2 linked regions of the Oryctolagus cuniculus genome follow. The protein of the gene in region 1 purifies or fractionates together with the protein of each later gene. This does not show direct contact. Links are inferred from orthologs where the notes say so. Each region holds a gene or a part of one and is shown in the gene's direction. Other genes may lie near its edges.

Region 1 (4,091 bases):
TTTTGCTCATGGTACCCTGGGTGTCCATCATAATTACAGATGAAGTTGTGGGTTAGATATTTTCACCCTTACCATAAATTTAGATTATTTATACTTTTCAGTATGTTTTCATTTAAATCTTGAAAAAAAAATGAAGTTTACTTAAGATAGCTATTATTGCATTCCACAGATAACAAGAAACTAAGGCATGGAGAACAGCACTAGAATTCTAGTTGTCCAGCCAATTTCTAACTACAGATTTCTTCTTTGTCTGCAAAGCATTATACTCAGTAACATTAGGGAGAATAAAGATGTTGGTAACCAAAGTTAAGCAACAGTAGCTAGAAAAATCTCCTTGCTGTTTTTCTATATAACTATGATGAGTGTTTTTTGATTGTTAAAGAGAAAAAACAGGGGCTGACACTGTGGCATAGTGGGTAAAGCTACCACCTGCAGTGCTGGCATCCCATAAGGGTGCCCGTTCAAGTCTTGGCTGTTCCACTTCTGATCCAGCTCTCTGCCATGGCCTGGGAAAGCAGTGGGAAATGGCCCAGCTCCTTGGGCCCCTGCCCCATGTGGGAGAACCAGTGGAAGCTCCTGGCTTTGGATCAGCTCAACTCCTGCCATTGCGGCCATTTAGGGAGTGAATCAGCTGAAGGAAGACCTCTCTCTGCAATTCCATCTTTTCAAATAAGATTTTAAAGAGTTACACAAAGAGCGAAGGAGAGGCAGAGAGAGAGAGAGAGGTCTTCCATCATCTACTGGCTCACTCCCCAAGTGCCTGCAACAGTCAGAGCTCCGCTGATCAGGAGCCAGGAGCTTCCAGGTCTACCACACAAGTGCAGGGGCCCAAGGATTTGAGCCATCTTCCACTGCTTTCCCAGGCCCTAGAAAAGCACTGGATTGGAAGTGGAGCAGCTGGGACTCGAACCAGTGCCGATATGGGATGATGGCACTGCAGGCGGTGACCCCAAAATAAATCTTTAAAAAAAAAAAAAAAAAAGGCCAGCGCCACTGCTCACTTGGCTAATCCTCCGCCTGCGGCGCCGGCGCACAGGGTTCTAGTCCCAGTTGGGGCACCGGATTCTAGTCCTGGTTGCTCCTCTTCCAGTCCAGCTCTCTGCTGTGGCCTGGGAGGGCAGTGGAGGATGGCCCAAGTGCTTGGGCCCTGCACCCACATGGGAGACCCAGAGGAAGCACCTGGCTCTGGGCTTCAAATCAGCGCAGCATGCTGGCCGTAGCAGCCATTTGGGGGGGTGAACCAATGGGAAAGGAAGACCTTTGTCTCTCTCTCTCTCTCTCTCACTAACTGCCTGTCCAAAAAAAAAAAAAAAAGAAAAGCAAAGTTCTTGACAAAGACCCTCAATCCCCTGAGTCAGAGAGTCAGATGGCCCTTGCTGTGGTCCCAGCTGACCTGTGAGGGCCTCTCCTGGTCACAACATCAGAGAGTATTTCTCACTTACACTTTATGAAAAGCAGAGAACAGTGTTGAGCATGCAGGCCATGTAAATTATCATTCTGGCTCATCCAAGAAGAGCAGAATGCCTCCATGTCTGCCCTGTTTAGGTTTCTGCCCTTTCTCCTTCCCGTGCCTGTTGTTCTGTAGTACTGCACTTCTAGTGTTTATATGTTACTGTTTACTTTTGCTGTTTCTTAAACATAAGCTTTTTCTGTCAAAGTCAAAACTGGGAAAAGTGGTAAAAATCATGAGAATGGTTGTTCTTGAGGGAAGTGCAGTCTGGAAATGAAATCAGCAGTTCTTCTGGTTGAGAAAAAAATATAAGCTCAACATTTCATGATTCTCACTTAAAAGCATCCTTATTTGGGTCACAGTTCGTATAGTCCTTTACTTTTCTTCTGGGTCAGTGACTGTAAACTCCTCTTTTAGGACTAATGTTTCTCTGTGTTCTCTAGGCAGCACGGAGCTGACAGGCAGCACCAATCTCATCACACACTACAACCTGGAACAAGCCTATAACAAATTCTGTGGCAAGAAGGTGAAGGAGAAGCTAAGCAACTTCCTGCCCGACCTGCCGGGGATGATCGATCTTCCCGGCTCTCACGACAACAGCAGCCTCCGCTCCCTTATCGAGAAGCCCCCTATTCTTGGTGGCTCTTTCAATCCCATCACAGGGACCATGCTGGCTGGCTTCCGCCTCCACACCGGCCCGGTGAGTGCCCTCTTGAGAGAGGCAGCAAATGGGGAAGCCGAGGGCAGGGAGTTTTCTCTCTCCACATCTGCTCCCTTGTACCTTACTGAGCAAAGGATTTCCTTCTCCACTCACCCAGACCTTCCTTTGCTTCCTTCAGTTGCCAGAACAGTGTCGCCTGATGCATATTCAGCCTCCCAAGAAGAACAAGAAGCACAAGCACAAACAGAGTCGGACCCAGGATCCTGTCCCCCCAGGTAAGCAGCAGCCCTGTTAAAACAAGAAAACCTGACCTTCTGAATTTGGTGCAACTTTGCACAGTTGAACCCAGTGAATTCCTCACACAGCCCTGGATGCCCAAGTTTCCACAATGTACTTTGATCTCTTTGGCAAGTAGGGACTTAGGACAGGGGTTCTGGCAGCAGAGCCATTTAGAGAAACACAGTTGGGCACCTGCCTGTGATGCCAGCACCCCATATGGGCACTGGGCTGAGACCTGGCTCCTCCACTACCTATCCAGCTCCCTGCTAGTGCATCTGGGAAGGCCGTGGAAGATGGCCAAGTCCTTGGGCCTCTGCACTCGTGTGGGAGACCCGGAAGACACTCTGGGCTGGCTTTGCCCTGGCCCAGTCCTGGCCATTGTGGCTGTTTGGGGAGTGAACTAGCAGATGGAAGAGCTGTTTCTCTCTAACTTTGCCTTTCAATAAACTTTTAAAAATCTAAAAAGAAAAAAAAAATTTGCCCAATTTGGTGTCCTGTAGTCTTCCAAATTCACAAAGTAGAGAATTTTGAGCATTATAGGTAACAGGCCCTAATGCTTCCTACAGAAACACCATCTGATTCGGATCATAAGAAGAAGAAAAAGAAAAAAGAAGAGGATCCTGACCGGAAAAGGAAGAAGAAAGAGAAGAAGAAAAAGAAGGTAGGGGTAGAGCCTGTTGCTGCAGCCCTTTTCCCCATATCTCACCCTGTCCTTTGCCTCAAACTGGACCCAAGAGTGAAAACTCAGGGCAAGTTGCTAGTTGTTCTTACCCTCCTCCTTTATCTTCTCCAGAGCCGACACAGTCCAGACCACCCGGGTATGGGCAGCTCTCAGGCCAGCAGCAGCAGCAGCCTTCGCTGACAACCACTGGACTCTACCAGGATGGCTTTTCCTACTGAACTTCTAACAGAAGCTGCCTTCCCGGCTCTTGGCCAATGCCTTGGGAATACCCAGCAGCCAAGGCAGAGGCCAACTCCTGCTCTGCTTGGTTGCGATGAATACATTAGAAGAGGGAAGGGCCATCCTTTTATAAGGCTCAGCCTAGTTGGCTTTCTCATGGACATCTCTTCCTCTCCCAGGAAGCTATTTCTTCTGTTTTGTGCAATTTGTTTAATATCAGAACTTGACCTGTTAAGTTTTTCTTTAAAAAAAAAAATACCTGCATTTATCAAACTGGCTCAAGTGTGGCTGTCTGTTAAGGGAGGTAAGTGCCTTTCTATGGAAGTCAGTGGTTAAGACAAGTCATTCCTAAGCTTTAAGGGGATTTGAGTCGTCCTTGCATTATCTCATTGGCAGGCAGGGAAACAACCAAAATGACTGAGAAACATGGTCCAAAAGAGGCACAGCTTCATTATACTCTCCCCATAATGTCAGGAACAAAGTGCCTGGATGGTCTTCAGGCTCCACTCTGAAGAGCTGATCCATTTAAACCTCAACAGATTCTAGGTCAAGTTTGGGTTGAAACAGAATAGTCAACTGAAAAAGCACCTACAATCACCATCTTCTTTAGTATACTTCAACCAGATTGACTCTTTGGTCAGAAAACTATAATGTTTTGAAATGAACCTCTGGCAAGCAAAGGTAAATGTTTCTTTTATCTTTATAAAATCCTTTGGCCTGCCTCATTCCTTAGATAACACAGTTTGGCTGATAAGCTCCCAAGACAGCAAAAAGGGCAGCCTAGACTATCAAAGTGTAAA
Region 2 (4,135 bases), on another chromosome or scaffold:
GGGAGACCCGGAAGAAGCTCCTGGCTTCAGATTGGTGCAGCTCCAGCTGTTGTGGCCATCTGGGGAGTGATCCAGTGGATGGATGAGCTCTCTCTCTCTGTATCTCTGCCTTTTGAATAAATAATTTTTTTTAAAGTAATACAGAGAGAAACAGAGTTACACACAGAGAGAAGGAGAGGCAGAGAGAGACTTGGGCCATCTTCTACTTCTTTCCCAGGCCATAGCAGAGAGCTGGATTGGAAGTAGATCGGCTGAGACTCAAACAGGCGGCGGCCCTACCCGCTACACCACAGCAACGGCCCCTCAAATAAATCTTAAAAAAAAAATGAATTCATAATAAAGATACCATAACTAGATAAAATAAATTCTTCTTTTTTTTTTTTTTTTTTTTTTGACAGGCAGAGTGGACAGTGAGAGTGAGAGAGACAGAGAGAAAGTTCTTCCTTTTTACCGTTGGTTCACCCTCCAATGGCCGCCACGGCCGGCGTGCTATGGCCAGCGCATCGCGCTGATCCGAAGCCAGGAGCCAGGTGCCTCTCCTGGTCTGCCATGCGGGTGCAGGGCCCAAGCACTTGGGCCATCCTCCACTGCACTCCCTGGCCACAGCAGAGGGCTGGCCTGGAAGAGGAGAACCCGGGGGGCCAGATAAAATAAATTCATAAAACACAAAACGGGCCGGCGCCGCGGCTCACTAGGCTAATCCTCCGCCTTGCAGCGCCGGCACCCCGGGTTCTAGTCCCGGTCAGGGCACCGGATTCTGTCCCGGCTGCCCCTCTCTGCCCAGCTCTCTGCTGGCACCTGGCTCCTGGCTTCGGATCAACTCCAGCCGTAGCGGCCATAAATGGGGTGAACCAACGGAAGGAAGACCTTTCTCTCTCTCTCTCTCACTGTCCACTCTGCCTGTCAAAAAAAAAAAAAAAAAAAAAAAAAAAAGCCCACAAAAGCATGGTCTCTCATTGGCATAATTTTCCAGGAACCATCCTAATGTCCCCATAGGTGGGTTAAAGGCCTCTGGACATCACTGTCCACACTCTCAAAAAGAGTAGATAATTCACTGCAAGGCAGTCAAATGTTTGACTGCTAACATCATTGGAAGAAATCCTACCGTAGGCTTTCGGGGTCATCTGCCCAGCTTTCCATGACCCGCCAGTCCCTGCATGAGTAGTCCCTTAGCGTGCCAGCGCATTCCACCTTTTCTCGGTCCAGAAAGACCCAGTAACCCCGCGGAAAACCAAAGCAGAGCCAGGGCCGCTTCTTCCGGGGCCCCGCCCCGCCCCGCCCCATCTCCTAGCCCCGCCCCGGGTCCCGCCCCATCGTGGCCAGGCTAGCGGCTCGCGGCTCGGCGCTTCCGCTTCCGGTGCTGTCTGTGGCGGCGCGCGAGACAGCTATGGCGGCCGGTGGCGTTGATCCGCGGGCTGGCGACGTCGAGGAGGACGCTTCACAGCTCATCTTTCCCAAAGGTGAGGTGAGGTGATGCGGGGCTATCTCTAATCATCGGTCGCTTCTCGCTGAATTCCTGGCCTCAGCGGACGGCCGGGGTCCATCCCGGCGCGGCGTGGAGCTGGGGGAAGGGGGACCCTGGCCCTGGAAGGATCCTGGTCGGGCACCGGCGGACCCTGGCGTCGCGGCTTCCACGCTCCCATCCCTGGAATGCTCGGCGCCCACTGGCATTTGCCCCTGCCGGGCCTCCTGCTGCCTGTGTTAGGTGCACTAGTGTCTTTTACCCGGGAACAGACTGCCATCTGCTGCCTCGCAGGGTGCATACCAGCAGGAAGCTGGAATCAGCAGTGGAGCCAGAACCAAATCCAATATTGGATGCTGCACGGGACTTGGGTTTCCCAAAGTAGCATCTGAACCACGGTACCTTCGTTTTGTACTAGAGAGAAAAATGTATGGTGTAAGAAGACCACTCAAGGGGCTGCGCCGTGGCTCACTTGGTTAATCCTCTGCTGCGGCGCCGGCATCCATATGGGCACTGGGTTCTAGTCTCGGTTGCTCCTCTTCCAGTTCAGCTCTCTGCTGTGGCCCGGGAAGGCAGTGGAGGATGGCCCAGGTGATTGGGCCCTGCACCCGCGTCGGACACCAGGAAGAAGCACCTGGCTTCGGTCGGCGCAGCTCCAGCCGTGGCAGCCATTTAGGGGGTGAACCAACGGAAGGAAGACCTTTCTCTCTCTCTCACTCTGTCTCACTCTTATCTGTCAAATAAATTAAAAAAAAAAAAAAAAGACCACTTAAACAAGCCACTCGTAAACCATTAATGACTGTAGTGCAGGAACCTCAAGAGAATTTCCAGGTGACTTACTGACCAAAGAATCATTTTAAGTTATTTGTGACCGCCATTTTTAAAATAGCTGCACTGGGGCAACATGTAGGTCCCTGATTTCACCTAGAAAATAATGAGTTTAGCCTTAGGGAGAAATATTGAAGCCTTCCTCTCCATAGTGTTTTCTTTTTTTAGATTTATTTGTTTACTTGACAGAGTGAGAATGAGAGCAGGAGGGAGAGAGAGAGATCAGAATCGCTCTTTCATCCACTGGTTCACTCCCCAGAAGGTCATCATGGCTGGGGCTGGGTCAGGTTGAAGCCAGGAACCAGGAACCCTATCTGGTCTCCCACGTGGATGGCAGGGGGCCAGTCTGTTGAAGTAGAATCCTGGAAATGTTTCTCAGGGGCTTGGTGGTATCACACACTCTTTGCCTAAGCCACTCCAATCAGCCAGTTTGGCTTTTTCTTTCTCTTTTCTTTTGTTTGGGGGGGTGGGGTGGGGTGTATGTTGTGGAAAGGCAGAGAGACAGCTGCCATCCACTGATTGGTTCCCCAGATGCCCACAGTGGCAGAGCTGGGCTGGGTCACCAAGAGCTGGGACTGCAATAAAGGTCTCCCACATGGGCGGGAGGGACCCAACTGCTTGAACCATCAGTTCTGCCTCCCAGGGTCTGCGTTAGCAGGAAGTTATAAATCTGCAGCTGGAACCTGAACCCAGGTCCAGGTGTGCTCATGTGGGATGAAGGCATCTTCCCTGCTAGGGCAAACACATGCCCTTTCCTTGACTGAAGAAAGTGAGGGTAGTGTGTAAGTAGTACTTGGGCATTGCCTTAGTGAGGAATGGGAATGAATGACTAGTCTCTGCTGTCCTGACATTCCATTCCCATTACTTTTGTTGTTAAATTAATTTATTTGGGAGCTGGCGCTGTGGGGCAGTGGGTTAATGCCCTGGCCTGAAGCATCGGCATCCCATATGGGCGCCGGTTCGAGACCTGGCTTCTCCACATTCCATCCAGCTCTCTGCTATGGCCTGGGAAAACAGTGGGAAAACATGGCCCAGGTCCTTGTGCCCTGTGCCCATGTGGGAGACCGGGGAGAAGCTCCTGGTTCTTGGCTTTGGATCGGCACAGCTCCGGCTGTTGCAGCCATCTGGGGAGTGAACCAGCGGATGGAAGACCTCTCTCTCTCTCTTCTCTCTCTGCCTCTCTTCTCTCTGTGTAACTCTGACTTTCAATTAAAATAAAAATCTTTAAAAAAATTAATTTATTTGAAAAGCAGAGTGACAGAGACAGGAGAGACATCTTGTGTTCCCTGTCCTCCCCCAGATGGCTGCAACAGCCAGAGCTGGGCCAGGCTAAAGCCAGGAGCCAAGAACTCCATCCGTGTCTCCCGTGTGGGTGGCACGAATTCAAATAGTTGAGCCATCACCCAGGTGCATTAGCAGGGAGCTGGCTTGGAAGTGGAGTAGCTGGCAGTCTGATTTGGGATGCTGGCTCCAAGCAATGGCTTAGTCTGCTGTGCTGCAAGTGCCAACCCTATCCCATTGCATTCACAAATAGATGTGGCTTAGTGCAGAAGCAGAGGCTTCTCTAACTTTGTTTGATTTCCATTTATTTTTTAATGAAAATTTATTTATTTATTTGAAAGGCAAAGTTAGAGTGTGAGATCTTCCATCCACTGGTTTATTTCCCAGATGGCCGCAATGGCCGGAGCTGGGCCAGTCTGAAGCCAGGAGCTTCTTCCAGGTCTCCCATGTGGGTTCAGGGGCCCAAGGACTTTGGCCATCCTCTGCTGTTTTTCTCAGGCCATTCTCAGGGAGCTGGATCAGAAGCAGGAGCAGCTGGAACTCAGACCTGCCCCCATATGGGAT

Evidence for each region.
Region 2: the proteins of MED19 (region 1) and POLR2D purify together in Homo sapiens (affinity purification with mass spectrometry; 4 studies listed by BioGRID and IntAct, with this or other methods). This does not show direct contact. The link is inferred for Oryctolagus cuniculus from reciprocal best matches to the Homo sapiens genes MED19 and POLR2D.

Annotation. Positions count from the first base shown.
Region 1 is NC_091432.1:14,445,536-14,449,626, forward strand, and holds the end of MED19 (mediator of RNA polymerase II transcription subunit 19), read left to right. Parts: intron 1-1,893; coding exon 1,894-2,150; intron 2,151-2,289; coding exon 2,290-2,386; intron 2,387-2,956; coding exon 2,957-3,051; intron 3,052-3,183; coding exon 3,184-3,252; 3' UTR 3,253-3,564; downstream 3,565-4,091. UniProt on the Homo sapiens protein: Component of the Mediator complex, a coactivator involved in the regulated transcription of nearly all RNA polymerase II-dependent genes.
Region 2 is NC_091434.1:121,247,779-121,251,913, forward strand, and holds the start of POLR2D (DNA-directed RNA polymerase II subunit RPB4), read left to right. Parts: upstream 1-1,298; 5' UTR 1,299-1,387; coding exon 1,388-1,460; intron 1,461-4,135. UniProt on the Homo sapiens protein: Core component of RNA polymerase II (Pol II), a DNA-dependent RNA polymerase which synthesizes mRNA precursors and many functional non-coding RNAs using the four ribonucleoside triphosphates as substrates.